Linked DNA regions of Saccharomyces cerevisiae S288C. Changing the gene in region 1 together with any one later gene gives a genetic interaction. Each region holds a gene or a part of one and is shown in the gene's direction. Other genes may lie near its edges. The genes, in order: KAR3, IML3, PAC11 and NUM1.

Region 1 (8,743 bases):
TGTACTTTTCAATACGTCCTTCCTTTGGTTTAATCATCTTTTCATTTGGATCGATGTTCATACACAATTGCAAAAATTCTCTGTCTAAGAATGGAACACGAGCTTCTAGACCCCAAGCCATCGTAGACTTGTTAGCTCTCAAACAATCTGCCAAATGCAAGTTCTTGACACGTTGCACGGATTCAGTGTGAAATTCTGCCGCAGAAGGAGCTTGTGCGAAATATAGATAACCACCGAAGATTTCATCGGAACCTTCACCGGAAAGAACCATCTTGACCCCTTGGGCCTTAATCTTTCTGGATAGTAAGAACATTGGAGTGGAAGCTCTGATAGTGGTAACGTCGTAAGTTTCCAAATGGTAGATCACGTCGTCCAAAGCATCCAAACCTTCTTGTAATGTAAAGGTGTGTTCATGATGAATAGAGCCGATGAATTTGGCAACCTTTCTTGCGGCTTGCAAATCTGGAGCATTTGGTAAACCGATGGCAAAGGAATGGAGACTTGTCCAACCAGCAGTGTGTAGCTTACCGTCATCGTCGATACCTGCTAGATGTCTTGCCTTACTATCGTAAGTTGATGGTTCGACATCGTTAGTGGCCTTTGCAGTTTCACGGGCAGCAATGGAAGCGATTAAAGAGGAGTCCAAACCACCCGACAATAGAACACCGTATGGGACTTCGGCCATTAATCTCTTTCTAACGGCTTTTTCTAAGGAGTGTCTAATTGCCATGTAATCTATTGGGGTGGAAGGAATGCGTTTTTCGTCCAGCCAATCTGGTGTGAAGTAACGGGTGATCTTGTCAGTCTTAGAATCGTATACGTGGCCCGGTGGGAATGCAGTGATAGTGTCACAGTCGTCAGTCAAACATTTTAGTTCGGATGCAAAATAAACGGTCTTTGGAGAAGCGGAAGAGCGTCCCATATATAATGTCGTAATACCGATTGGGTCTCTGGCTGCCACAATACGATCTTGTTTAGCGTCGTAAAGAGTCCAAGCAAACATACCATCCAAGTACTTAGGAGCGTCGATATCGTGCTTTAAGTACATTGGGATGATAGGCTCACAGTCACTCAGTGTTCCAAACTCGTAGTCTGCGCATTCTTCTCTTAATTGAATGTGGTTGTAGATTTCACCGTTAACACATAGCATGTACTCTCCGTCTGAAGAAGTAATTGGTTGAGCACCGGATTCCACACCGACAATGGCTAGTCTTTCATGAACAAATATAGTGGAGTTCTTGATAGCATTACCGGACCAATCTGGACCACGGTGTCTGATTCTTTTTGATAGTTGTAGAGCCTTTGGCTTATATCTATGCACGTCTTCGTGCCTGAAAGCGGCGAAAATACCACACATCTTAAGTTACGTCCGATTTATATCCTTAGCGTAAAGCAAGTTATACTTTTTCTTATTTTATTATGTAAAGGTAAGAAGAGTATGCGATCAGGGTCCAAACAGAATCTGTCTCCTAGTGGCGTTCACTATAGGGTTATATATGCGTATCTATAAATGCGCATAAATTCAAGAACGAACTATTTGTCATCTCGAGTGGGCAGCAAATTTTCAGTTTACAGAATGAGTCAAATGTTACATGAGTTAAGGCTCTTTTCCTTGTGCTCTCTCTCTCTGTCTGAGCCTGCCAAATGATAACAGTCATAGGCCCTGTACCTAATTTGCCGTCCACGGCAGCAGTACTGCTGCCGTGTGATTGGTGGATAGATAGTGCCAGCGATAAGAAACGGTAGTTGATGCCCGAAGGTGCTTTCCAGCGCAGAAAGACAGACCCCAGGCGTATTTGCGCTCACGTTGCACGAACACGGGCGGCATTCGTGATGACAATAGATTTAATTTAGATATGCACTGGTTTCCACAGAGACCAATCGACAGTCTTCCATGCAAGGTCACTTATTGTTAACGGCAAGTTTCCCTGGATGTCCGCTTTAAAACTGTTTCGGCACGGTTTAAAGGACACAAGTTTTGACTAGTCTACAATTTAAGAACATATAAAAAGCTACTTGTGTACAGATGAGATGACTACTCCCAAGTCAAAAACAACAAAAGAATGAAAGAAAAAAGAATCAGAATTTTATAAAAGCGTCCTTGTCATTCTTAAGAATGTAACAAGATCAATGGGTTGCGCAGGAACCGCTATCTCCATTAAAACCTCAGATCGCTCCGAGAAGAATTGTTCGATTTGAAACGCAAATAATATCATCGTATTCTTTTAAAAACTTGGAAGGTCATTGGTTTCTTTAAATGAAACCTCCAAAGAAAATCTAACGCGTCTTGGTAAAATATATGTACCGAGTGTTTCGCTTTTTATACCTGTTAAATGAAAATCGAAAAAAAAGAAAAAGAAAAAAGTTTTTCAGCACTTCTCTACGGGTAATCCTCGTATTTGAAGGTTTAGGGCTATTCTTGAAATTTTTCACTAAAATTTTCCAACTGAGAAAAAAAAAAGTGTATTACGGTTTTGATGAGATGAGATGAGATGTAATTATCATCCTCTATTGCCATGAAGAGAGATCTATTAAAAAGAAACGTCAAAGAATATGGTATTGCTTATATCAGAAATTAAAGATATTGCCAAGAGGCTGACTGCTGCGGGTGACAGAAAGCAGTACAACTCCATTATCAAGTTAATCAATGAACTAGTGATTCCAGAAAATGTTACTCAATTGGAAGAAGATGAGACAGAAAAAAATTTGAGATTTCTGGTTATGTCGCTATTCCAGATATTTAGAAAGCTGTTTTCCCGCGGCGACTTGACCCTTCCTTCGTCCAAAAAGAGCACATTAGAGAAGGAACAGTTTGTTAATTGGTGTAGAAAGGTGTATGAAGCGTTCAAGACGAAGCTGTTAGCTATCATTTCGGACATACCTTTCGAAACATCACTTGGGTTAGATTCGCTTGATGTCTATCTTCAACTTGCAGAGCTGGAATCAACTCATTTTGCATCTGAAAAGGGCGCACCATTTTTCCCCAATAAAACATTCAGAAAGTTAATCATCGCCCTATGGTCCTCGAACATGGGTGAAATAGAGGATGTCAAAAGCTCGGGTGCGTCTGAAAATTTAATCATAGTAGAATTCACGGAAAAATATTATACGAAATTTGCAGATATTCAATACTACTTTCAATCAGAATTTAACCAACTATTAGAGGATCCAGCCTACCAGGACTTGCTTTTGAAAAACGTTGGTAAATGGTTAGCTTTAGTAAATCATGACAAACATTGCTCTAGTGTTGATGCAGATTTAGAGATCTTTGTACCAAATCCCCCACAAGCCATAGAGAACGAGTCCAAATTCAAGTCCAATTTCGAGAAAAATTGGTTATCCCTTTTAAACGGCCAATTGTCTTTACAGCAGTATAAGTCTATTCTGTTAATTTTGCATAAGAGAATAATACCTCATTTCCACACTCCAACTAAACTAATGGATTTCCTTACTGATTCCTACAATTTGCAAAGCTCTAATAAAAACGCCGGTGTTGTTCCGATCTTGGCTCTGAATGGCCTTTTTGAATTGATGAAAAGATTCAACTTGGAATATCCAAATTTTTATATGAAACTTTATCAAATTATAAATCCAGACTTAATGCATGTTAAATACAGAGCAAGATTTTTCAGGTTAATGGACGTATTTTTGTCATCAACACATTTATCCGCCCATTTAGTAGCATCTTTCATCAAAAAGCTAGCCAGACTCACCCTAGAATCACCACCCTCTGCTATTGTCACCGTGATTCCCTTCATCTATAATTTAATCAGGAAACATCCGAATTGTATGATTATGCTGCACAACCCAGCCTTCATTTCCAACCCATTCCAGACACCTGACCAAGTGGCGAACTTGAAAACTCTGAAAGAAAACTATGTAGATCCCTTCGATGTTCATGAATCGGACCCTGAGTTAACTCATGCACTGGATTCCTCTCTGTGGGAGCTGGCGTCATTGATGGAACATTATCATCCTAATGTAGCCACGTTGGCGAAGATATTTGCTCAACCATTTAAGAAGCTAAGTTATAACATGGAAGATTTCTTAGACTGGAACTATGATTCTTTGCTCAATGCAGAATCTTCAAGAAAGTTGAAGACACTTCCTACGTTAGAATTTGAGGCTTTCACAAACGTTTTTGATAATGAAGACGGCGATAGCGAAGCGTCATCCCAAGGTAACGTCTACTTGCCTGGGGTAGCATGGTGAAAGCGAAGATGAACAACGAAGTTTTAAAAGTGTGTATATATACATTTATATCAACAGAGTCATCGATTTCCCTTGTTTGAGATGTAAAAAAAAAAAAAAATAGAAAATAGTAAGTCCCTGTTATCAATTTTGCCTAGGAAAAAAACCTGGGTCAAAAATAAATGGTCTCTAGCGGGATCGAACCGCTGATCCCCGCGTTATTAGCACGGTGCCTTAACCAACTGGGCCAAGAGACCATTCTATTGTTGAAGATTGTTTAATTTAGATAAACTTTCATAATGTTGAGAATTGCTTATTGCGATATATAAAGTTGAACCAAAGATCAATTTCTTTTTATGTATTGTAGAGAATTACAATTTGAAAAAGAGCTAAGGGAAATTGCTATATTCTAAAAGAAGTGCACAAGTACATTACCTTGAATTTTTATATTTATTCATGATATATTAATATTAATATATCGATGGTGAAGGACACCACACCTGTATTTCTTTGATTGAAAACAATTTTGTAACATTGGCTGCAAAAGTTTTTGCAATTGATATGAAACTATATGATAATATAGAATGCAAACAAAATTCAATTGCAAGGAGGAGGGAAGATATAGGGCCCCTTTCTCGCTTGACATAGACTAAATAATATACAGTTTTTATTTCTTTATTTTTTTTCTTCTTTTGACATGAACATGTTGATTATTCATTGTCGCTTCCTGCGGCAGCTTTAACTAAATCCAAAAATTTTTCTTTGGAAACTTCAGTGATCAATTCTTTCTTTTCTTCTTTATTCTTAATTTCGCTTAAATTTTCGGATACTTCCTTTTCTGTCTTGACTTGAGTTGCTAAAATGGCGTTAAATAATTTCACGGCACCTTTTTGAGCTATCTTTCTGAGCGCTGTCTCCTTCTCAAGGACTTTTCTAATATTTTCTGACCTGTCTTCTCCGGAAGCAATTGGAATAATATCCGTCTTTCTGGCTTTACCTAATAACTTTTTTTTTTCTGCCAACAATGCTTTTTTGGCCTTGTATTCTAGCTTTTCTGACTCACTTTGCTTCAGCACCTTTTTGTTTCTAGCCATGATGGGGTCCTTCCTGTCGTATGCTTTCAGATGTGATGATAAAATAGCATTTACTGCAGCAGAAAATCCAGTAGAACCATCATCATGTTTGCTGTTTTTCGATTTTTTCTTTCTTGGGAAGTCGTCGTCCTCTTCTTCTTCATCATCATCTTCTTCAGCATCACTTTGTTCGTTATCTATAATTTTAGATGATTCATCGCTAGAGCTATTCTGCTCGTCTTCTTCGGCTTCATCACCTTCCATTATTGTATCTTTTTCCGGCTCATTACTTAACTCTTGGTTGCCACTATTCCTTTTTTCACGCCCAAATTCTGCATTCTTTCTGGTTCTTTTCTTATCCTTAGTGTCTACTCTGTGCTTGGAGCCCATGATCAATTATGTACTGATTTTCCTTCGGCTTCTCTATCGCTTTATTCATAGCATCTGTTTATTACCTTTCCTTATATCTTATGGGCATCGAATCCTAGATTTTTTTCTTTCAAAATTTTCCAATAAGAGGGTAATGGAGATACACCAAAATGAATCTCAAACAAAATCAAAACAAACACTGTTTACAATTTGATGCGCCTCGAATCAAAATATGATGATGAGTATTACAGCTAAAAAAATTATCGAATATTATATAAGCATTAAAGCTATCAATTTTTCCGCTCTTTGTGTTTCTTATTATTCTATTTGAATATACCAGAACAACTATCCGGAGTCTTTGTTTAAAAAAGGTAGATTTTGAAATAAAGGACTTAGAGAAATTCTGGCAACTATTAAACTATGGAATCACTTCCACGTACTCCCACAAAAGGCAGATCTACGCAGCATCTCTCGACACCATCGCCGAAGAATGATATTTTAGCTATGAATGGCCACAAAAGAAGAAATACAACAACTCCACCGCCTAAGCACACTCTTCTGAAGCCGCAACGTACGGATATTCATAGACACTCATTAGCTAGTCAGAGTCGCATATCCATGTCACCTAATCGCGAGCTTTTAAAGAATTATAAAGGTACAGCAAATTTGATTTATGGAAACCAGAAAAGCAACTCCGGTGTAACTTCCTTTTATAAAGAAAATGTTAATGAACTCAATAGAACACAAGCAATCTTATTTGAGAAAAAGGCAACACTAGATTTACTCAAAGATGAACTAACAGAAACGAAAGAGAAAATCAATGCCGTTAATCTCAAATTTGAAACCCTTCGTGAAGAAAAGATAAAAATTGAACAGCAACTGAATTTGAAAAACAATGAACTTATCTCGATTAAAGAAGAATTTTTGTCAAAGAAGCAGTTCATGAATGAAGGACATGAAATACATTTAAAGCAGCTAGCGGCATCTAATAAAAAAGAGCTGAAACAAATGGAAAATGAATACAAAACAAAAATTGAGAAATTGAAATTTATGAAGATTAAACAGTTTGAAAATGAAAGAGCGTCGCTTTTAGATAAAATAGAAGAGGTAAGAAATAAAATCACCATGAACCCTTCCACTTTACAGGAAATGTTGAACGATGTTGAACAAAAGCATATGCTTGAAAAAGAAGAATGGCTTACAGAGTACCAATCGCAGTGGAAAAAGGATATAGAGCTGAATAATAAACATATGCAAGAAATCGAAAGCATAAAAAAGGAAATCGAAAATACATTAAAACCTGAGTTGGCAGAAAAAAAGAAGCTCTTAACAGAAAAGCGTAACGCGTATGAAGCTATCAAAGTAAAAGTTAAAGAAAAGGAAGAGGAAACTACAAGGCTGAGAGATGAGGTGGCATTAAAACAGAAAACTAATTTAGAAACTTTGGAAAAGATCAAAGAACTTGAGGAATATATAAAAGACACTGAACTGGGTATGAAGGAGTTGAATGAAATTCTGATTAAAGAGGAAACGGTTAGACGCACATTGCATAATGAGTTACAAGAGTTAAGAGGAAATATACGAGTTTATTGTAGGATTCGTCCAGCTCTAAAAAATTTGGAAAATTCTGATACTAGCCTTATTAATGTTAATGAATTTGATGACAATAGTGGTGTTCAATCTATGGAAGTGACGAAAATACAAAACACAGCGCAAGTGCATGAATTCAAATTTGATAAAATATTTGATCAACAGGATACAAATGTGGATGTTTTTAAAGAAGTTGGTCAGTTAGTGCAAAGTTCATTAGATGGATATAATGTTTGTATCTTCGCATACGGACAAACAGGATCTGGGAAAACTTTCACGATGTTAAATCCAGGTGATGGTATCATTCCGTCCACAATATCTCATATATTTAACTGGATCAATAAATTAAAGACAAAAGGATGGGATTATAAAGTTAACTGCGAATTCATTGAGATCTACAACGAGAACATCGTAGACTTATTGAGAAGTGATAATAATAATAAAGAAGACACAAGCATTGGCTTAAAGCACGAAATACGTCATGATCAGGAAACTAAGACTACCACGATAACGAATGTTACGAGTTGCAAGCTTGAGTCGGAAGAAATGGTGGAAATAATCCTGAAAAAAGCAAATAAATTAAGATCCACCGCTAGCACAGCATCAAATGAGCATTCCTCCCGTTCACACAGTATTTTCATAATTCATTTGTCTGGATCAAATGCAAAAACTGGAGCACACTCGTATGGCACACTAAATCTTGTTGATTTGGCCGGTTCCGAAAGAATAAATGTCTCTCAAGTTGTAGGGGATAGATTAAGAGAAACACAAAATATAAATAAATCTTTAAGTTGCTTAGGTGACGTTATTCATGCTTTAGGTCAGCCTGATAGTACCAAAAGACATATACCGTTCAGGAACTCAAAACTGACATACCTACTGCAATATTCACTCACTGGGGATTCGAAAACATTAATGTTTGTAAACATTTCACCAAGCTCCTCTCATATTAATGAGACTCTCAATTCGTTAAGATTTGCGTCTAAAGTGAATTCTACCAGATTGGTTAGTAGAAAATGAGGTCAAGGCCTTTTCTGGTCTTTTTCACTCCTTTGACAAATGACAGAGACTGTCCATACATTCATCACATGTAACTATATTATATATGAAACTCATTTTAATGCGCACAGATAAAAAGCAAAGTAAGTAATGAATATTTGTTATGTAAAAATGACCTCATACATGCTAGTATTTACACGAATTTAATTGCTTAAATTTCAATCATCCTTACCCTTTGGTTTACCCTCTGGAGGCAGAAACTTTTGCATCCTCCTTATTGCCCAATTTTCGCCAATGACTTTAACATCTGGGTCCGATTTACCTTCCGTGGTGTTGAACCGCTTCCACCATGAGGGGGATTTGAACCTAGGGTCTTCGCGTGGTAATTTGCGAACTTCATTTCTAATTTCAGCAACATGGGCTCTCAGTTCAGCGGCTAATCTGCTTCTTAAATCTTGCGCCTCTTTACCATATTTCAATTCGTCAGAGAGGTCGTTAGGATTTTTGGGATCATAGTATTT
Region 2 (3,943 bases), on another chromosome or scaffold:
GTTGCTTCCCTAGTAAGTTCCTTGGGATATTCATTGGCCTTTAAAGAAAAATTTCTAGGTTTTGGCTTTACAACAGGAGGAGGCGCCTTCTTCGTAGACTGTTGCGCTTGAATAGACGAAGTTACAGGAGGTATTGACTTTTCATATTTATTAGCATCTTTTGAACTATCAACTTCGGATGTTATAGTACCCTCATGTAACTTCTCAGATCTGGATGGGGCCGGAGGGGTTGGCGCTCTTTTTCTAATAAAGCTGTTGGGGGCATCACCCAAACGACCGTTTTCTGTAGAATTCTCACTCTTGGGGTTGTATTCATCACCATCATGGTGCTTAGCTATACGCCCACGCCCACGCCCATGATTTGCCTCAGGTCCGTCGATAGTATAAGAACTATCACTAGAATTGGACGATTGTGAACGCCTAAATGGTTTTGGTGGTGGCTGGAAGTTTTGAATAGGCTGTGTCTCCATATGAGCTCTTCTGAATTGAGATTGCGATTGCGGTTTCGATTGAGGTACCAACGATGGTTCAACGTTTCTATCTTCCTCAGAGGGGTGCCCTGGCAAAACTTCACCCTTCATTTCTACAGGTGATGCTTTACTATTCTGATTTTGTTTAGTTTCAGTATGTCTAAATGGCTTCGGTGGAGGTAAAAAATTAGAAATGGGATCCTCCTGTACATTAGCGGCATTCGTTGACAGCACCGACTCTGTCCTCTCAAAATTGCCTCGTGATGGGGGAGGAGGAGGCTCAACATTGTTCCGAGGAGGTAGAATTGGCACTGCCCGTTCTGGTGCGTTCTTCGTGGTGTGCTCAGAAGGTACAGAATCAAGTCCATGTCTGAAAGGTTTTGGAGGTGGCATGATGTTGACATCTACATCATAATGTCCTAAAATGGACGACTTGGAGGTACTTTCATCGTTTTCTTTGTTTCCAGAGTTCCTTTCATTGTCTGCAGTAGTAGTTCTTGAATGCTTTGCTGGCAATGAAGCCGCCGAAGAGGTTGTGTTAGGCTGTATTTTCCCACTTGGCGCAGGTTCCTGGTGTACAACTGCTCCTCTATCCCTATGAGTGGGAGGTGGTGGAAGGCTACTAACGTCTACAGTGGGAATATCGATTTTGGGCTTCGGAGCAGGTGCGTCTGGGTCAAATGGAGTAACTTCAAAATGTGGGGTTGAGCCAGTAGAATCAAGAGAAGGCTCAATCGGATAGATGTTTCCCTGTTGCATTGGTTGCGGTGGCTGTGGCTGCATTCTTACAGGCACAGGCGGTTGTCCACCGACTGGAGGCTGACCTTGCATGGGTGAAGCTCCATAGCTGGGGTTCGAATCTTGCATGTTTGTAGTACTTGACATGGCTTGGCCATAGACAGGCTGAACCGCAGCCATCCCAGAAACTCCTTCCACGTTCATTTGTGGCAACAAAGCGTTGTTTTGGTTCAGAGGCTGCTGTTGCTGTTGCTGTTGCTGTTGCTGTTGCCCAAAGCCATTTGACAGAGGCTCTCCGGGCGCTGGCAAGATCACTTGACCGCGCGGGGGCGGTAATGGTTGCCCTTGTTGTTGCTGTTGTGGTTGTGCAGGTGATGGTAAAACTTGCTGGCCAAACTGTGTCGTGGGCTGCTGCTGTTGGCCCGATGGAAATTGGGATTGTCCGAGATTGGTTGAGCCATGTGATACGTATTGCGGCTGCTGATGACACTGAAGACCGTTCTGGAAAGACGGTGATGGTGCCGGATTACTTGATTGGGTACCATATTGCAGATTTTGCGAGACAAACCCTGTGCTTTGCTGAGAAGCAGAGTTCAGAGATACCTGACTTGGAATTGCATTTTGGGGTTGATTTTGTTGCGGCAGCGACTGGTAGCTGGTTGCATTAGAATTTGACCCATACGGTGGTACTTGCTCTCCATATATAGGCGGCTGCTGTGGCACTACACCTTGTTGCAGCTGCTGTTGCTGTGGCATTACACCTTGTTGCAGCTGCTGTTGTGGATACTGATTATACTGTGGTTGTGCGTATTGTGACTGTTCCGTCGATCCTGCGCCAGGTTGGCCTTGGTATGCACCCTGAAAAGCATAACTGGCCTGACCATTTGGCATTTGCTGTTGCTGTTGTCCTGTATAAGTTTTTTGTCCAGGTTTCAAAGGTGGGGGAGGAAAGGACTTTGGGTCTTTTAAACTTCTTATATCGGTCGGCTTTCTTTCGTACTCCATCTCATCTTCGCTATCATACTCCTCATCACTTGAATTTTTCTTACCACTCTTCCTTTCCCTACGCGCTTTGCTGTTGTTATAGTGCTTCTTACTTGCCTTATACCCTGTCTTGGCAACGTACTTTGTTCCTTGGTAACCATATTTACCGGCGCTCTTCAGCCCTGAAGTGATGGAATCTTTGTTGTTCTCCCAAAATCCCATGCTGGTTGATAACTTGATTTTTTTATGAAAGACCTCTCTCGAACATACGATTATGTAAACTCAAAATGACTTTATCCATATATGTATACACTTAATTTAGATGATGAAATATAAAAAAATAGGGTGGTCCCTGGTTTTCCTGAAGCGCGATTTAGGCAGATCCAGTGGTACTACGGGAAAAAAAAATGCCGACACCGATATGAAATAGACAACAACCATAGTGGGATGATCTGGTCGACTGCATGGTTGATTTGATTGTCTATAGGTATCAACGTACTTCCTTTGGATGGAATGCCTTATACTTGGAAGTTTTTAGGAATCAGCAAGCAACTTTCACTGGAAAATGGTATAGCAAAGTTGAACCAATTGCTAAACCTGGAAGTAGATTTAGACATTCAAACCATTCGAGTACCCAGTGATCCTGATGGTGGTACCGCCGCTGACGAGTATATCCGTTACGAAATGAGGTTGGACATCTCTAATTTAGATGAGGGCACTTACTCTAAGTTCATTTTCTTGGGGAACTCAAAAATGGAGGTGCCGATGTTTTTGTGCTATTGCGGGACAGATAACCGCAATGAAGTGGTATTGCAGTGGCTGAAGGCAGAGTACGGTGTCATTATGTGGCCGATAAAATTTGAACAGAAGACCATGATAAAGTTAGCTGACGCCAGCATTGTGCACGTAACGAAAGAGAACATCGAACAAATTACCTGGTTTAGCTCAAAGTTATATTTTGAACCAGAAACACAAGACAAAAACTTGCGGCAATTCAGTATAGAAATACCGAGAGAAAGCTGTGAGGGTTTGGCTCTTGGCTATGGTAATACTATGCACCCGTATAACGATGCAATTGTACCCTACATTTATAATGAAACGGGGATGGCGGTGGAAAGATTACCGTTGACTTCCGTCATATTGGCAGGGCACACGAAAATAATGAGAGAATCCATTGTCACTTCAACACGAAGTCTCAGGAACAGAGTTCTAGCAGTTGTACTCCAATCGATTCAGTTTACCAGCGAGTAACACTATAAAGAATATTCACCAAGATACAATAAAAAACCACAGCTCTACCTTTTTTGTACATATGAACCTGAAGACCTTCATGAATCATCGTCATTATCAGTAATATCCGGTTCGTCATATCTGCAATGACACCCCACAAAATCCCAGAGACATTACAATTTAGTGTAGAGATCCCGACACAACGGGCCAATGGCTGCTATGAACTAATGTTCACATAGTTTAATTTTGTTGAACTTTCAGTATATATTTGCATAAAATCATATAGACGAGCGCACTTAGCGGAAAGTGCGGCAGTCATACAAGCACGAGGAAAAAGAGGACACGACTCATTTTTCTTTACATGATAAGCCCAACAAAATGAAAACAAATAGAGTTCCTTGTTTTCATTTCATCTAATCAAGAAAAAAAAAGCAATTCTATGGCGATGTAGGAAAATAGACACAATTCGTCTAGCTTTATCTTATTTCATTCTATTTTTCTTATAACACTGCAGCAACTGC
Region 3 (7,920 bases), on another chromosome or scaffold:
TGTTCTCGTGCTCATAGTGTGTTAAATTTATATAATTTGTTCTTTTTATTCTCTTCAGTGAAACGCAAGCGTACCGAAAAATATAAGGAAGTCTTTTAGTCCTATCCTTTTCTCTTCCTCTCTTTCCTTTGTAGTAGGTTCACTTATTCAAACGTTTAATTTTTCGGCATTACTCACTTTAGTAAGACCAAAATTAATTAGGCTAATATAGCGAAGTACCTGTCAAAATGCGATCTATGATAAAAGCATGATGTGACGAATATCTAAAAAGGAATAAAGACTTTTTTTGCATTTAATTATTTTCTAACCTTAGATATATAATGTTATTTATTTGATTTTGTAGTAGTTGTAGGCCCATCAAGGGTGGATATGAGAATGCATTAATTTGTAAGAATCGATAATGGCTTTCAAGTGGCATACAGAACCAAGAACCACCATAATATGAAATATTTGATGAGAGCTACCGAAGAAATCGAACTTCCCTGGAGCCAAAGTTTCAGGAATCCTAAACCCGTAGATTACAGCCCCTGAAATGTAAAAGAGAGCTTCCCAAAACACAAAGCTGACTTTTATTCTGTTAAGAACCCCTTGGATACCGAACTTGAAAAACCCTGTGGTCAATGGGAGTAAGCCACTAAATCCAAACAATATGAAAAACATGGCCCTAAATGGACGAAATGTGGAAGTGTTAAACTTGTCGTGGAGGACACAGACTGTACAAAATGTTGCCAGGACTAAAGTAACAATCGTGAAAAGACTGAAGTAGGATATGTGGTCGAAGTAACCAAAGTATATTATAGGGATCATAGAACAGGAAATCAAACTGATAATCCCCAAGTAGTCGAGCTTGCTCCAGAAATTGCTTTGCTTTTCAGAGTGTTGCTTCATGCAGTGGAAACAGCTACTGCACATGAGACATGAGAAAGCGCCCATCAAGAAAATGTTTATAACGGTGTAATCGGACCAGGAAGTGGAGGGGAAAACGGGAATTAGAAAGTAGTTGGTCAACGTAATGGCAAACACGAAGTATACGATAGCCGGTACCAAATGTGTATAAATGTTCACAGTCTCGTTGTTCCAATAAAATAAAGAATATAAGCACTTTTTCCATGACAGTGTTTCACGAACGTACCCGGTGAGAATTTTGTCATTATCTTTTTGCCATTCTGGCAACTCATCGAAATTGTGTAGCAGTTTTTGCTTTTCAAAAACTGTCTGGCCTGAGACAGCTTCCACCTTAATGGAGGCTCTCGTTGCCTTGCAGCAGACACTATCTTGGTTTCTTCTTCTAGTAGTGGTGATACTCATTTTTTTTCTTCTTTTATCTTGCTTGACTCAATTAAGGCGACTAATAACAAAACGAATGACGAAAATGGAAAACAATAGAAAAGTTAGGAACCAGAATCACTTTTGTAAAGTTAATATTGCGCTTGCGGAGCTCCTTACTGTTTCAACTGATGATACTGATATGCCTTTAGAAAAGAAATCAAATTCTATTAACAGAAGGGTGCCAACATGTACGTATATATATATGTGTGCGTGTGTATATATGTCTGACATATACATGAGTAACCGGCTAAGTAAGGTTTTTACGTTGATTGCTGCATCCATCGGTCGTGAGTATTGTCAAATTGCCGATGCCCTGCAGGCAAAAAAACCGTTGAAAAATCGTTGGGAAAATGGGCTTGCCCGACTGTCGGATTTAAGGGCTTGGACCCTAAAGGTTGCATGATAAGACCTACTTATTTTAGCATATAACCCTATAAAGGTGAAAATCTCAGTAGGGTTATTTTCGTTTAAGGGAGCATGAAAAATTCAAGTTAGTACATATTAATGGCTTTGAGATATTGCGGAGTGACAACAAGAGTAATACAGAGCAGGCGAGAAAGTAACGCTGGACAGTCACTATCTGGTACAACTTGCGCACGTGTACTTGCTTGAATACTGCTACTATATCATTAATATGGGAAATAGGTCTTTGACAGAGGCAGACCACGCCCTGCTGTCCAAGCCCTTGGTACCGACATCTGCGGAACATACACAAACGCAAGAGTATCCTCGTCCTTTCGTAGATGGCAGCAATTCTCAGAGCGGGTCTGAACTACAGGCTTCTCCACAAGGTCAGTTTGGAGAAAAGGCATTGACTAGTACTAATCGCTTCATTCCCCTGGCAAATGATGACCCGGGTATGCAGCACGAGATGGGTCTTGATCCCTCAATGAGGCGTAGAAGAGAAGAATGGGCAGAACGTGGTGCGGCAAAAATCGTCAAAGATGTTGTCGACCCAGCTACGGGGGAGTTAACTAAGCATGTTGTCAAGATGGGAATAAAGGACTTCAAGTTTGGAGAGCAACTCGGGGATGGATCATATTCTAGTGTTGTTCTGGCTACCGCCCGTGATTCGGGCAAGAAATATGCAGTAAAAGTGTTGAGTAAAGAATATCTGATCCGTCAAAAAAAAGTTAAATACGTCACAGTGGAGAAATTGGCTTTGCAGAAGCTGAATGGCACCAAGGGCATATTCAAGCTTTTCTTCACTTTCCAGGACGAGGCAAGCTTGTATTTCCTTCTAGAATATGCCCCCCACGGTGATTTCTTGGGCTTGATTAAGAAATATGGATCTTTAAACGAGACATGTGCACGCTATTATGCGTCGCAGATCATCGATGCCGTTGACTCCTTGCATAATATCGGCATTATTCACAGGGATATCAAGCCCGAAAACATATTGCTCGACAAAAATATGAAAGTGAAGTTGACGGATTTTGGTACAGCCAAAATTTTACCGGAGGAACCTTCGAACACCGCAGATGGCAAGCCTTATTTCGATTTGTATGCTAAGTCGAAATCATTTGTTGGTACCGCAGAATATGTTTCTCCTGAGCTACTGAATGATAATTATACAGATTCCCGTTGTGACATTTGGGCATTTGGTTGCATATTGTACCAAATGCTTGCGGGAAAACCGCCTTTTAAAGCTGCCAATGAATATTTGACATTCCAAAAAGTAATGAAGATTCAATATGCGTTTACTGCAGGTTTTCCGCAAATAGTAAAAGATTTAGTTAAAAAACTATTAGTTAGGGATCCAAATGATAGATTGACCATAAAGCAGATCAAAGCACACCTCTTTTTCCATGAAGTCAACTTTGAAGATGGTTCTGTTTGGGATGATAATCCACCGGAGATACAGCCATATAAAATAAATGCAGAGGCGATGAAGCCCCTGCAAAAGGTTTCTGAATCTGATACCACTGTCAAAATGGCCAACCTTCAGCTGGCTGGTAATGGACATGCAGATACTCCCCTGCAAGCACCAGCAGCGACCTCTCAAGAGCATTCTGTGATCAGTATGACTGCAGCAACCGCCGCATTCAATAAAGATTATACAAGTCAACCCAAATTGGGGAGCAAGTCAAGCACATCTGTTAGATCTGCCTCCAACAACACAGATCGCGAGGTAATTCAAAAGAAGGTTTCAAAAAATCGCGCATCTGTATCATCTCCTTCAATTTCTACTACATCACGGGGGAAAGATAATAGAAGTCGCTCTTCTGACGCCTTCTGGTCACGCTACTTGCAAAATATGGATGAACGTGTCTTGTTGATGAAGGAGGTAGCGCTTTCCACACGAAACTTAGAGGACTCACCTGTAGGTCTTGAGAACGTGGCTCTGGACTACAAGAACCCTCTTGATATCGAGCCTCCTACTGATAGTGCAGGCAAATTTTACAAGAAAATGTTTCTAATAACAAACCTAGGCAGAGCACTTGTTTTTGTCAAGAGAAGAAGTCTCAGCATGTGGGAAGAACAGGAATTTGAATTGCAATTCGAACTAGAGTTGAATGACGTTGAGAAGATACGCTTTATAAGTGATCAAGTCCTTGAAATTGACGGTTCCAGGACGATTTTCATAGGATGCAAAGAGAGAGCAGTTTTAATGAAACTATGGAAATTAATACATAATGGAATGACCGCCAAACCTAAAGTAGTATCGCCGAAGTCGGACCATAAAATGTTTGATAAGTTCATTCTTCAAAAAAGACAGAATACAAAAAAAAAGAATCAAGCTCCTCCCGTACCTCAATCGAATAGGCTAATAAATGGTTTACCGGACCGTTGCATCTTAAAGACACCCGAAGAAGGCGCACTTCACACAAAACGTCCCACTTCGTTGCAGACCCGATCGTCATCTAATTACTCAAAATTGCTGGCAAGATCGACACAAATGCGGAAAAACATGACACGGACAGATGAAAAATGAAACTGTGCTTGATAATATATATATATGCATATGTAAGACATGGTGAAGGGGAAAGTGTAATGCATAATAGTTCAAATAAGAGCAACTTTGTCGTCTCTCAGCAGATCCCTAATGACTTCATATCTCATAACGTAAATACTTCCAATAGTGAGTTCAACCTCTTCCTTTAAATCGGGTATTGTGACCGTGTAGCAAGGTTTACCGAACTCGTTTTCCTGCAATAGCGGATCTTCGTTCCATTTACCATCTGGTGGGCCGTTAACGTGTATAAAGACAAATTTGTTCCAGTCGGGCTCATCTATCATGTTTACGCTACCTTCTGTATCATTAATAGCCTGAAGTTCTTCGGGCATGTATTTCAGGATAGAATCATTGACTAGTTTCAACCAGATCAGGGAATGCGTGTCATGGTATTTGATTTCATCTTTGGATAGTAAATCTGTAAGAGAGATCAGCGAATTTTCATCTTCATTTAATTGGCGCAAATAAAGTGAGAATTTGTCAATTTTGCTTAGCCTACATCGTATGTAGCTTCTAATAACAAATTTCAATCTTTCTAACTCAGTTTCCATGCAGAGTAAAGGCAATTTAGATTCGTTAGGCATAGGCGGGTTCGCATTAGAAGCATTTTGCATATCGAGGAATCCCATTGAAATGTTTTCAATTAATTGAGATTGCATGGATATTCGATTCAATAATCTTTTCATCAACTGATGAGGATATGGTAAGAGTTCTGGCGAACACCGTTCATTTTTCCAAGACTTCATCAAGTCAGAAAAATCCTGCTGGGGAGAGACATATATCTGAGTCTTGTCATTCAAGTCTAAGGACGAACCCACTATTGTATTTGCATCTCTGTGGGTAGTGGAAGAAGAACCTTGCGTGATCTTGGTAGAGTCGACAGCAGTAGTTTCCTTATCCAGTTCTGCAAGAATATCGTCTATGTTAATGTCCATCACCGAGTCAGGTATCTTATTCTCCTTCCCAATACTAACAAATTTGGTTTTTCTTACCTATGGCTCAAATATAATGCTATTGAAATTTTCAGTACTAGTCCAAGGCGAAAAGAAAAAGAAATGAACTAGTTTTCGTGTTTTGCCGTAAACAAAGAGAAAAGGGAAAAAAGAGCATCACAGTTGGTTAATCAACCAAAGAGGAAGAAGGATTGAAACATTAAGATGGAGCGATTGAAGCAACTGGAGGAAAAAAGGAGACAATTGAAAGAGCTGCGTGAGAGGCGAAAACAAGCCAGCTTGTTCCCTGGGAGCGAGACGATGGGCCACCATCCCACAGAGGTGCACGCTAAGGCAACCATGGTCAGCGTTTCAGTGCAGACCGACATGGAGGAAGGCTCAAAGATTCAAGAGCCCCAATCTGCATATCTTCGACGTAAGGAGGTTATAACATACGACAAAGGCATTCAAACAGATCAAATTGAGGAAGAACAACTGCAAGAAAATGAAAATCACACCACTACTGATGCTGTCGCCATTGAAACTACTGCTGCCGACGAAAATAATAAAGACAAAGCTGAAAACGACCAGCCAAGGTTAGAACTAGCCAAACCTTTTCTTGTTGAAGAGGCGGCGGCAACGCTGAGCAACGCTAGTTTTGCGCGGCTGGAGACAGAGGTTTCTGCGTCAGGCCAGCAGGCGCCATCGAACATGCAACAGGATAAAGACAACCTCATGCAATGGAACATGGTCAGTGAGAATTTACAATCAGAGACAGACTGCGATTGTATCGCTCAGGAGTATGACCCAGGAAAAGGCGTCTTGGTTGTGGTTTATCTACGATTGCCGCCGGCAGACCTACAGTATGCTAGCAGCGAAGCGGCGTGGTCTGTGGTGAATGTAGTCAAGTGCGATAATGCCAGCGGACGCAACGGCCTCTTGATAGATATGGTAGAGTTCCGTGGTACGCGGATCATGACAGCCACGATCCTCCGTCGGTATCATCCGGAAAGCAATGTAATATCAATCTTGTTGGCGACCTTGACGGGCAAGATCATATTGTACGAGCTTAGATTGAAACAGAAAAAGCCAGAAACACCGGTAGTGTATGTCGTGCAGCGAAATATGGTGGCAAGACACTACTTTCAGCACCCAGTGGTGGCTGTAATTGAAACAAGCAGCGTGCAAGATCAAGAGAGAGTACTTGTGGCAGCTGATAATGGCAATATTATGGAGTTGAGCTGCCTGGACTTGACTGTTTTGCGGAAGCCACAGCAGCTCCGTCCTGTACCGCTATCACAGCTTTTATCTTTGGAGAATGATACTTGCACATATACGGAGCGATTGCAGCGGTTGGCAAAGTTTGATGAGGTAGGTATAGCTTGCATGGCGTACACGAGTGAGGACCCGCAGTACGTCTGGATCGGTGGCGAAGACGGTGGTATATACAAGGTTTTCTGGGACCAACCTGGGCCGCTGTACCTCTCTTTGGACAACAATGGGTTCCAACCTGCAGAAAACCACTCTACGAGGGTAACCGGGTTAGAGTTTCATTGGGACGATGCTCGGCGGCTAATGCTTCTATTATCATGTTCCACGGACTGGACGGTGCGGCTGTGGGACGCGCGAGCAGGGAAAGCTATCATAGGGGCGCCATTGTTGTTAGGGGGGCCCGTACTACGTGCACGCTGGCTCGAAAAAAACAATGGAGGGGAAAATAGTCGCACTCTACGGTGTCAAGTGTGGTGTGCAGATGGTCGCCTCGTTGTTGTAAATTGGGCTTTCGATGCTAAGACGTCCCTCTACACGGCCACTGTTATCTCCTAACGCCGCTTCGAGGCGGGTGAGCATAGGTTATTGCCTGATGAGTAATTTCTTAGCGAGAATTGATAAAAAAAAGCAAGGCTATTATTAATATACGTGCTATTGTGAAATTTTCATTGGCGTATATATGTGAGGTGAATGTAAATATCTCCAACAAAAAGCAGAAGGCTAAAAAAAAGGAAAGGAAAAGAAGAAAAGGCAACGTCGAAAATGTTTACACCAATTGATCAAGCTATAGAACACTTCAAGCAGAATAAGTTTGTAATTGTTATGGACGATGCCGGTCGTGAAAATGAAGGTGATCTTATTTGCGCTGCTGAAAATGTCAGCACTGAACAAATGGCCTTTCTTGTACGCCATTCCTCAGGCTACGTCTGTGCACCTATGACGAATGCCATTGCTGATAAGTTGGACCTTCCACTACTGAGAACAGGCATGAAGTTTGAATCCAATGATGACGACAGGCATGGAACTGCATACACAATAACTGTAGATGTAGCCCAAGGCACTACCACAGGTATTTCTGCTCACGACAGGTCGATGACTTGTAGGGCTCTTGCAGACTCTTCCTCTACGCCAAAATCATTTTTAAAACCAGGGCACATCTGTCCCTTGAGAGCCGCTGATGGCGGTGTTTTGCAGAGAAGAGGCCACACTGAGGCCGGTGTCGATTTGTGTAAACTAAGTGGACTAAGTCCCGTCGCTGTTATTGGCGAATTGGTTAACGATGACGAACAAGGAACTATGATGAGATTAAATGACTGCCAAGCGTTTGGTAAGAAACATGGCATTCCTTTGATCTCCATCGAAGAATTGGCCCAATATTTGAAGAAATAATCTGGTGAACATTTTCTCCATTCATTCTATCACAACAGACTC
Region 4 (8,873 bases), on another chromosome or scaffold:
ACGGCTGTTTGTGGTGAATTGATGATAGGAGTACCGTATAATGAACCAAAAACACCACCATTAGATATGGTGAAAGTACCACCCGTCATATCTTCTAGGGTTAATTTGCCATCACGCGCTTTATGACTCAAGCGAACAATTTCGTTCTCAATATCTAAAACACTCAATGACTCTGCATTACGAACGACGGGGGTAACCAAACCCTTTGGAGTGGCCACAGCAACAGAAATATCTGTGTAATCACGATAAACAATCTGGTCACCTTCAATGGCACCATTGACGGCTGGAATATCCTTGGCGGCCAAGGTACATGCTTTGGAGAAAAGACCCATGAATCCGAATTTAGTACCGGTCTTCTTAATAATCTCATCTTTATACAGTTTCCTCATTTCCATCAAAGCTGACATGTCAACTTCGTTGAATGTGGTTAAGGAAGCAGCAGTGTTTTGAGACTCTTTTAATCTTTCGGCAATCCTCAATCTCATACGGTTCATTTTGACCCTGGTTTCTGTACGTGGAAATGGTGTGAAAGAGTTAGAGGCTACTGGGGGTTCCTGCGCCTTAGAGACGGTCTTCTTTGGTTGATCAGCCTTTTTTGGTTCTGTAACTTCTTTCTTTGGAGCGGCTTCTTTCTTTGGAGCAGCTTCTTTCTTTGAAGCCGTTTCCTCACTTGAGTTTTCCCTTGCGGCGACACCTTGCGATGGCTCCGCTTGTTCGGTAGGCTCTGGCTTAGATTCTCCAGAACCCTCAGCAGGTGCTTCACCAGGCTCGACCTGAGCTAACTCCTCACCAACAGTGACAGTGTCCTCTGGTTTGAAATTTAGCTTCGTAACAGTACCTGATACTGGCGAATTGACCTCAATATCAATTTTATCGGTCTCAATAGTGGCCAACAGCTCGTCCTCCTTAATAAAATCACCAACGTTTTTAGTATATTCCTTTAAAGAGCCTTCAGTCAGGGACTCTGCCATCGGAGGAACTTCAATAGAGGTAGATTTAAAACGATTGCTAGTTATGGAGAACGGATTCGCCGCAACTGAAATTTTCTTGCCGGATAAATATATTGAACCTAAGGATTCGACCTTGTTAGCTTGTTTGAACAAACTTGTAGAAGCATGTCTCTTGACGAAAGAAGCAGCCATAACATTTCTAGCCACTTTAGATTTTACTAAGGATTTGGCAGCTGCAGTACGCGTCGCTCTGGAAAGCATTGTTTAAATAATTATCTGAAGTTGTGTCTTTGGTTGTAACAAATGTGGTAGTGAAGTTTATAACAATATATCTATTCACTGATATATACCGTTAAAGATAGCTGCCTAATTTTTTATTTCGGATTTTTCTTTTTTTTACGTTAGATATTTCCTCCCCTGAAGCTCAAAAAGAGATTATATATGAAAAGTAGGCCTAGTTGAGGGAAAAAGGATTTGCATTTGCTGATAGACCAAGTGTGGATCCGAGCCCTGTAGTAGAATGGTGCTAATGTAGAATAAGAATAAGCTTTAGGAACCATAGATTCCTGCGTAATTTGTGGCCGCTTTATTGGCTCACTCCGGGCAGGACCTTAGTTTTGATTGGCTGCAAAAAAAGGGTTGTTAATATCGTCTTTGACGGAGATGCGGGTGGCTGGAATTGTTTTGTTTATTATTCCCCAAGAGAGAAGAGACAAGAAGTAGTAATGACGATGGAACAAAGATCGGTTCTAATAGGACCACAGGGTTGAATAGAGACGAGTAAAGACGCAACGGTCAAGGCTTTCCACGAGACGTTCGAATATGTCCCACAACAACAGGCATAAAAAGAATAACGATAAAGACAGCTCAGCAGGGCAGTATGCAAATAGCATTGACAATTCATTAAGCCAGGAAAGCGTCTCAACGAACGGCGTAACAAGGATGGCTAACTTAAAGGCTGATGAATGCGGCAGTGGTGATGAAGGAGATAAAACAAAGCGGTTTTCGATTTCAAGTATTTTGAGTAAAAGAGAGACAAAAGACGTGCTTCCGGAATTTGCAGGCAGTAGTTCCCACAATGGAGTACTCACGGCGAATTCATCAAAGGATATGAACTTTACTTTGGAACTAAGCGAGAATTTGTTGGTTGAGTGTAGGAAATTGCAATCCTCTAATGAAGCTAAAAATGAGCAAATCAAGTCTCTCAAGCAAATTAAAGAGTCATTAAGTGACAAGATTGAGGAGCTCACTAACCAAAAAAAGTCCTTCATGAAAGAGTTGGATTCAACTAAAGATTTAAACTGGGATTTAGAATCTAAATTAACAAACTTGAGCATGGAATGTAGGCAATTAAAAGAATTGAAGAAAAAGACTGAAAAATCTTGGAATGATGAAAAAGAAAGCCTGAAACTTCTGAAAACAGATTTGGAAATTTTAACATTAACAAAAAATGGCATGGAAAATGATCTTAGCTCTCAAAAACTTCATTACGATAAAGAGATTAGTGAATTAAAGGAAAGGATTTTAGACTTAAATAATGAAAACGACAGATTACTTATTAGTGTTTCTGATCTAACAAGTGAAATTAATTCCTTACAGAGCAATAGAACTGAAAGAATAAAAATTCAAAAGCAACTTGATGACGCCAAAGCATCTATTTCTTCGTTAAAAAGAAAAGTACAAAAGAAGTATTATCAAAAACAGCATACTTCCGATACTACAGTAACATCTGATCCTGATTCTGAGGGGACCACTAGTGAAGAAGACATTTTTGATATAGTGATCGAAATTGACCACATGATTGAAACAGGCCCCTCTGTCGAGGACATTTCTGAAGATCTTGTCAAGAAATACTCAGAAAAAAACAATATGATATTGTTATCGAATGATTCATATAAAAACTTACTACAAAAAAGTGAAAGTGCATCCAAACCAAAAGACGATGAATTAATGACCAAAGAGGTGGCTGAAAACCTGAATATGATCGCGTTACCAAATGATGACAATTACAGCAAAAAAGAGTTTTCGTTAGAATCTCATATTAAATATTTAGAAGCTTCTGGCTATAAAGTTCTTCCTCTAGAGGAGTTTGAGAACCTAAACGAATCCCTATCAAATCCATCATATAACTATCTCAAGGAAAAACTTCAGGCTTTGAAAAAGATACCCATCGATCAAAGTACGTTTAACTTGTTAAAAGAGCCTACTATTGATTTTTTACTGCCTTTAACATCCAAAATTGATTGCCTGATAATACCTACCAAAGATTATAATGACCTTTTTGAGAGTGTCAAGAATCCATCAATTGAACAAATGAAAAAATGCCTGGAAGCAAAGAACGACTTACAATCGAATATTTGTAAATGGCTGGAGGAGAGAAACGGCTGTAAATGGCTAAGTAATGATCTGTATTTTTCAATGGTTAATAAGATAGAAACACCTTCGAAACAATACCTGTCAGATAAGGCAAAAGAATACGACCAAGTGCTGATTGATACTAAAGCCTTAGAAGGTTTAAAGAACCCAACGATAGACTTTCTAAGAGAAAAAGCTTCTGCATCAGATTATTTATTACTCAAAAAAGAAGACTACGTGAGCCCATCACTGGAATACCTAGTTGAACATGCCAAGGCCACCAATCACCATTTACTATCGGATAGTGCATACGAAGACCTAGTCAAGTGCAAGGAGAATCCTGATATGGAATTCTTGAAGGAGAAGTCTGCCAAACTAGGCCACACTGTGGTATCCAACGAGGCATATTCTGAATTGGAAAAGAAACTAGAACAACCATCACTGGAATACCTAGTTGAACATGCCAAGGCGACCAATCACCATTTACTATCGGATAGTGCATACGAAGACCTAGTCAAGTGCAAGGAGAATCCTGATATGGAATTCTTGAAGGAGAAGTCTGCCAAACTAGGCCATACTGTGGTATCCAACGAGGCATATTCTGAATTGCAACGCAAATACTCAGAATTGGAGAAGGAAGTAGAACAACCATCTCTAGCATACTTAGTTGAACACGCCAAGGCTACCGATCACCATTTACTATCGGATAGTGCATACGAAGACCTAGTCAAGTGCAAGGAGAATCCTGATGTGGAATTCTTGAAGGAGAAGTCTGCTAAACTAGGCCATACTGTGGTATCTAGCGAGGAATATTCTGAATTGCAACGCAAATACTCAGAATTGGAGAAGGAAGTAGAACAACCATCACTAGCATACCTAGTCGAACACGCCAAGGCTACCGATCACCATTTACTATCGGATAGTGCATACGAAGAACTAGTCAAGTGCAAGGAGAATCCTGATATGGAATTCTTGAAGGAGAAGTCTGCCAAACTAGGCCACACTGTGGTATCCAACGAGGCATATTCTGAATTGGAAAAGAAACTAGAACAACCATCACTAGCATACCTAGTCGAACATGCCAAGGCTACCGATCACCATCTGCTATCGGATAGTGCATACGAAGACCTAGTCAAGTGCAAGGAAAATTCTGATGTAGAATTCTTGAAGGAGAAGTCTGCTAAACTAGGCCATACTGTGGTATCCAACGAAGCATATTCTGAATTGGAAAAGAAACTAGAACAACCATCACTAGCATACCTAGTCGAACATGCCAAGGCTACCGATCACCATCTGCTATCGGATAGTGCATACGAAGACCTAGTCAAGTGCAAGGAGAATCCTGATATGGAATTCTTGAAGGAGAAGTCTGCCAAACTAGGCCACACTGTGGTATCCAACGAGGCATATTCTGAATTGGAAAAGAAACTAGAACAACCATCACTGGAATACCTAGTTGAACATGCCAAGGCCACCAATCACCATTTACTATCGGATAGTGCATACGAAGACCTAGTCAAGTGCAAGGAGAATCCTGATATGGAATTCTTGAAGGAGAAGTCTGCCAAACTAGGCCACACTGTGGTATCCAACGAGGCATATTCTGAATTGGAAAAGAAACTAGAACAACCATCACTGGAATACCTAGTTGAACATGCCAAGGCCACCAATCACCATCTGCTATCGGATAGTGCATACGAAGAACTAGTCAAGTGCAAGGAAAATCCTGATGTAGAATTCTTGAAGGAGAAGTCTGCTAAACTAGGCCATACTGTGGTATCCAACGAAGCATATTCTGAATTGGAAAAGAAACTAGAACAACCATCACTGGAATACCTAGTTGAACATGCCAAGGCCACCAATCACCATCTGCTATCGGATAGTGCATACGAAGAACTAGTCAAGTGCAAGGAAAATCCTGATGTAGAATTCTTGAAGGAGAAGTCTGCTAAACTAGGCCATACTGTGGTATCCAACGAAGCATATTCTGAATTGGAAAAGAAACTAGAACAACCATCACTAGCATACCTAGTCGAACATGCCAAGGCTACCGATCACCATCTGCTATCGGATAGTGCATACGAAGACCTAGTCAAGTGCAAGGAAAATCCTGATGTAGAATTCTTGAAGGAGAAGTCTGCTAAACTAGGCCATACTGTGGTATCCAACGAAGCATATTCTGAATTGGAAAAGAAACTAGAACAACCATCACTAGCATACCTAGTCGAACATGCCAAGGCTACCGATCACCATCTGCTATCGGATAGTGCATACGAAGACCTAGTCAAGTGCAAGGAGAATCCTGATATGGAATTCTTGAAGGAGAAGTCTGCCAAACTAGGCCACACTGTGGTATCCAACGAGGCATATTCTGAATTGGAAAAGAAACTAGAACAACCATCACTGGAATACCTAGTTGAACATGCCAAGGCCACCAATCACCATCTGCTATCGGATAGTGCATACGAAGACCTAGTCAAGTGCAAGGAGAATCCTGATATGGAATTCTTGAAGGAGAAGTCTGCTAAACTGGGCCATACTGTGGTATCCAACAAGGAATATTCTGAATTGGAAAAGAAACTAGAACAACCATCACTGGAATACTTAGTCAAACATGCCGAACAAATACAATCAAAAATTATATCGATCTCGGACTTCAACACCTTAGCTAATCCATCTATGGAAGATATGGCTTCAAAATTGCAAAAGTTAGAATACCAGATTGTTTCGAACGATGAGTACATTGCATTGAAAAATACGATGGAAAAGCCGGACGTTGAGTTACTAAGATCCAAGTTGAAAGGTTACCATATAATTGATACAACAACGTACAATGAGCTAGTCAGCAATTTCAATTCTCCTACGTTGAAGTTTATTGAAGAGAAAGCCAAAAGCAAAGGTTATAGATTAATAGAACCTAATGAATACCTTGACTTGAATAGGATAGCCACTACACCTTCTAAAGAAGAGATTGATAACTTCTGCAAACAAATTGGGTGTTACGCTTTGGACTCTAAAGAATATGAAAGACTAAAAAATTCTCTGGAGAATCCCTCCAAGAAATTTATAGAAGAAAATGCCGCATTACTTGATCTTGTGCTAGTGGACAAAACGGAGTACCAAGCAATGAAAGATAATGCAAGCAACAAGAAATCACTTATTCCTTCAACCAAGGCACTTGATTTCGTTACAATGCCTGCCCCACAGCTTGCTTCTGCAGAGAAGTCATCACTACAAAAAAGAACTTTATCTGATATTGAAAATGAGTTAAAGGCCTTAGGCTACGTCGCAATTCGTAAAGAAAACCTGCCAAACCTAGAGAAACCAATTGTTGACAATGCCTCCAAAAATGATGTCTTGAACCTATGTTCGAAATTCAGTTTAGTACCATTGTCTACTGAAGAATATGATAATATGAGAAAGGAACACACTAAAATCTTAAATATTCTCGGTGATCCATCTATTGATTTCCTGAAGGAAAAATGTGAAAAATATCAAATGCTCATAATTAGTAAACATGATTACGAAGAAAAGCAAGAAGCCATTGAAAATCCAGGCTACGAATTTATTTTAGAAAAAGCATCAGCACTGGGATATGAATTAGTTAGCGAGGTTGAGCTGGATCGCATGAAACAAATGATTGATTCACCAGATATTGACTACATGCAAGAAAAGGCTGCCCGCAATGAAATGGTGTTGTTGAGGAACGAGGAGAAGGAAGCATTGCAAAAGAAAATAGAATATCCCTCTTTAACATTTTTAATCGAAAAGGCTGCTGGAATGAACAAAATACTTGTTGACCAAATCGAGTATGATGAAACTATAAGAAAATGCAATCATCCCACTCGGATGGAGCTAGAGGAATCCTGTCATCACTTGAACTTGGTTTTGCTCGACCAAAACGAGTACTCAACTCTAAGAGAACCTTTGGAAAATCGAAATGTTGAAGACTTAATTAACACCTTGAGCAAACTAAACTACATTGCAATTCCTAATACTATCTACCAAGATTTAATTGGAAAGTATGAGAATCCAAACTTTGATTATCTAAAGGATTCTTTGAACAAAATGGATTACGTCGCAATCTCTAGACAAGATTATGAATTGATGGTTGCTAAATACGAAAAGCCACAACTGGATTATTTGAAAATTTCTTCAGAGAAAATCGACCACATTGTAGTGCCTCTGTCTGAGTACAATTTAATGGTTACAAATTATAGAAATCCCAGCTTGAGCTACTTAAAAGAGAAAGCCGTTTTGAATAATCATATTTTAATAAAAGAAGATGACTATAAAAACATTTTAGCAGTATCAGAACATCCGACAGTGATCCACCTCTCCGAAAAGGCATCTTTATTAAATAAAGTCTTGGTAGACAAGGATGATTTTGCGACCATGTCACGCTCGATTGAGAAACCAACTATCGATTTCTTATCCACTAAGGCGCTATCAATGGGGAAAATACTAGTTAATGAATCTACGCATAAAAGAAACGAGAAACTATTATCTGAACCAGATTCTGAATTTTTGACAATGAAAGCCAAGGAGCAAGGGCTAATTATCATTTCAGAAAAGGAATATTCTGAACTGCGGGATCAAATAGATCGTCCTAGCCTAGATGTTTTGAAAGAAAAGGCCGCCATTTTTGATAGCATCATAGTAGAAAACATAGAATACCAACAACTGGTAAACACTACAAGTCCCTGCCCTCCCATTACTTATGAAGATTTGAAAGTATATGCCCACCAATTCGGTATGGAATTATGCCTCCAAAAACCCAACAAACTTTCTGGAGCTGAGCGTGCAGAGCGCATTGATGAACAATCAATAAATACGACCAGCAGTAACTCGACCACAACATCGAGCATGTTTACAGATGCACTAGATGATAATATCGAAGAGCTTAATCGTGTCGAATTGCAGAATAATGAAGATTATACTGACATAATCTCGAAATCATCCACAGTGAAAGATGCTACCATTTTCATTCCCGCCTATGAAAACATCAAGAATTCTGCTGAAAAATTAGGCTACAAATTAGTTCCGTTCGAAAAATCAAATATCAATCTGAAAAACATTGAAGCTCCATTATTTTCGAAGGACAACGATGACACTAGCGTTGCCAGTAGCATAGATCTTGATCACTTATCTAGAAAAGCAGAAAAATATGGTATGACCCTCATTTCTGATCAGGAATTTGAAGAATATCATATACTAAAAGATAACGCGGTTAATCTGAATGGTGGCATGGAAGAAATGAATAATCCCTTGTCAGAAAATCAAAACTTAGCAGCAAAAACCACAAACACAGCGCAAGAAGGTGCCTTCCAAAACACCGTTCCCCACAATGATATGGACAACGAAGAAGTCGAATATGGGCCGGATGATCCAACATTCACAGTAAGGCAACTCAAGAAACCCGCTGGCGATCGTAATTTGATTTTGACTAGTAGGGAGAAAACACTGTTATCAAGAGATGATAATATAATGAGTCAAAATGAGGCGGTTTATGGTGACGATATATCTGATAGCTTTGTAGATGAAAGCCAAGAAATCAAAAATGATGTA

Evidence for each region.
Region 2: mutations in KAR3 (region 1) and IML3 together harm fitness more than expected from each alone (negative genetic interaction), as found in Saccharomyces cerevisiae (5 studies listed by BioGRID, with this or other methods).
Region 3: mutations in KAR3 (region 1) and PAC11 together harm fitness more than expected from each alone (negative genetic interaction), as found in Saccharomyces cerevisiae (4 studies listed by BioGRID, with this or other methods).
Region 4: mutations in KAR3 (region 1) and NUM1 together harm fitness more than expected from each alone (negative genetic interaction), as found in Saccharomyces cerevisiae (4 studies listed by BioGRID, with this or other methods).

The regions. Positions count from the first base shown.
Region 1 is NC_001148.4:815,234-823,976, reverse strand, and holds KAR3 (Kar3p), read left to right. Parts: upstream 1-6,053; coding exon 6,054-8,243; downstream 8,244-8,743. Other genes in the region: ASN1 (asparagine synthase (glutamine-hydrolyzing) 1), read right to left, coding at 1-1,357; ribosome biosynthesis protein NOC4, read left to right, coding at 2,554-4,212; rRNA-processing protein RRP15, read right to left, coding at 4,902-5,654; TAZ1 (lysophosphatidylcholine acyltransferase), read right to left, coding at 8,441-8,743. UniProt on the Saccharomyces cerevisiae protein: Minus end-directed microtubule (MT) motor involved in spindle midzone assembly, poleward transport of newly captured kinetochores along the lateral side of MTs, karyogamy (nuclear fusion) during mating, and with an essential function in meiosis I.
Region 2 is NC_001134.8:453,293-457,235, reverse strand, and holds IML3 (Iml3p), read left to right. Parts: upstream 1-2,705; coding exon 2,706-3,443; downstream 3,444-3,943. Other genes in the region: AIM3 (Aim3p), read right to left, coding at 1-2,414. UniProt on the Saccharomyces cerevisiae protein: Component of the kinetochore, a multiprotein complex that assembles on centromeric DNA and attaches chromosomes to spindle microtubules, mediating chromosome segregation and sister chromatid segregation during meiosis and mitosis.
Region 3 is NC_001136.10:1,428,312-1,436,231, reverse strand, and holds PAC11 (dynein intermediate chain), read left to right. Parts: upstream 1-5,442; coding exon 5,443-7,044; downstream 7,045-7,920. Other genes in the region: MZM1 (Mzm1p), read right to left, coding at 1-15; IZH1 (PAQR-type receptor), read right to left, coding at 358-1,308; serine/threonine protein kinase PKH1, read left to right, coding at 1,964-4,264; DNA replication protein SLD5, read right to left, coding at 4,336-5,220; 3,4-dihydroxy-2-butanone-4-phosphate synthase RIB3, read left to right, coding at 7,252-7,878. UniProt on the Saccharomyces cerevisiae protein: Required for viability in the absence of the kinesin-related CIN8 mitotic motor. May be a dynein intermediate chain.
Region 4 is NC_001136.10:753,856-762,728, forward strand, and holds the start of NUM1 (Num1p), read left to right. Parts: upstream 1-1,772; coding exon 1,773-8,873. Other genes in the region: KGD2 (dihydrolipoyl transsuccinylase), read right to left, coding at 1-1,211. UniProt on the Saccharomyces cerevisiae protein: Controls nuclear migration. NUM1 specifically controls the interaction of the bud neck cytoskeleton with the pre-divisional G2 nucleus. Functions in dynein-anchoring.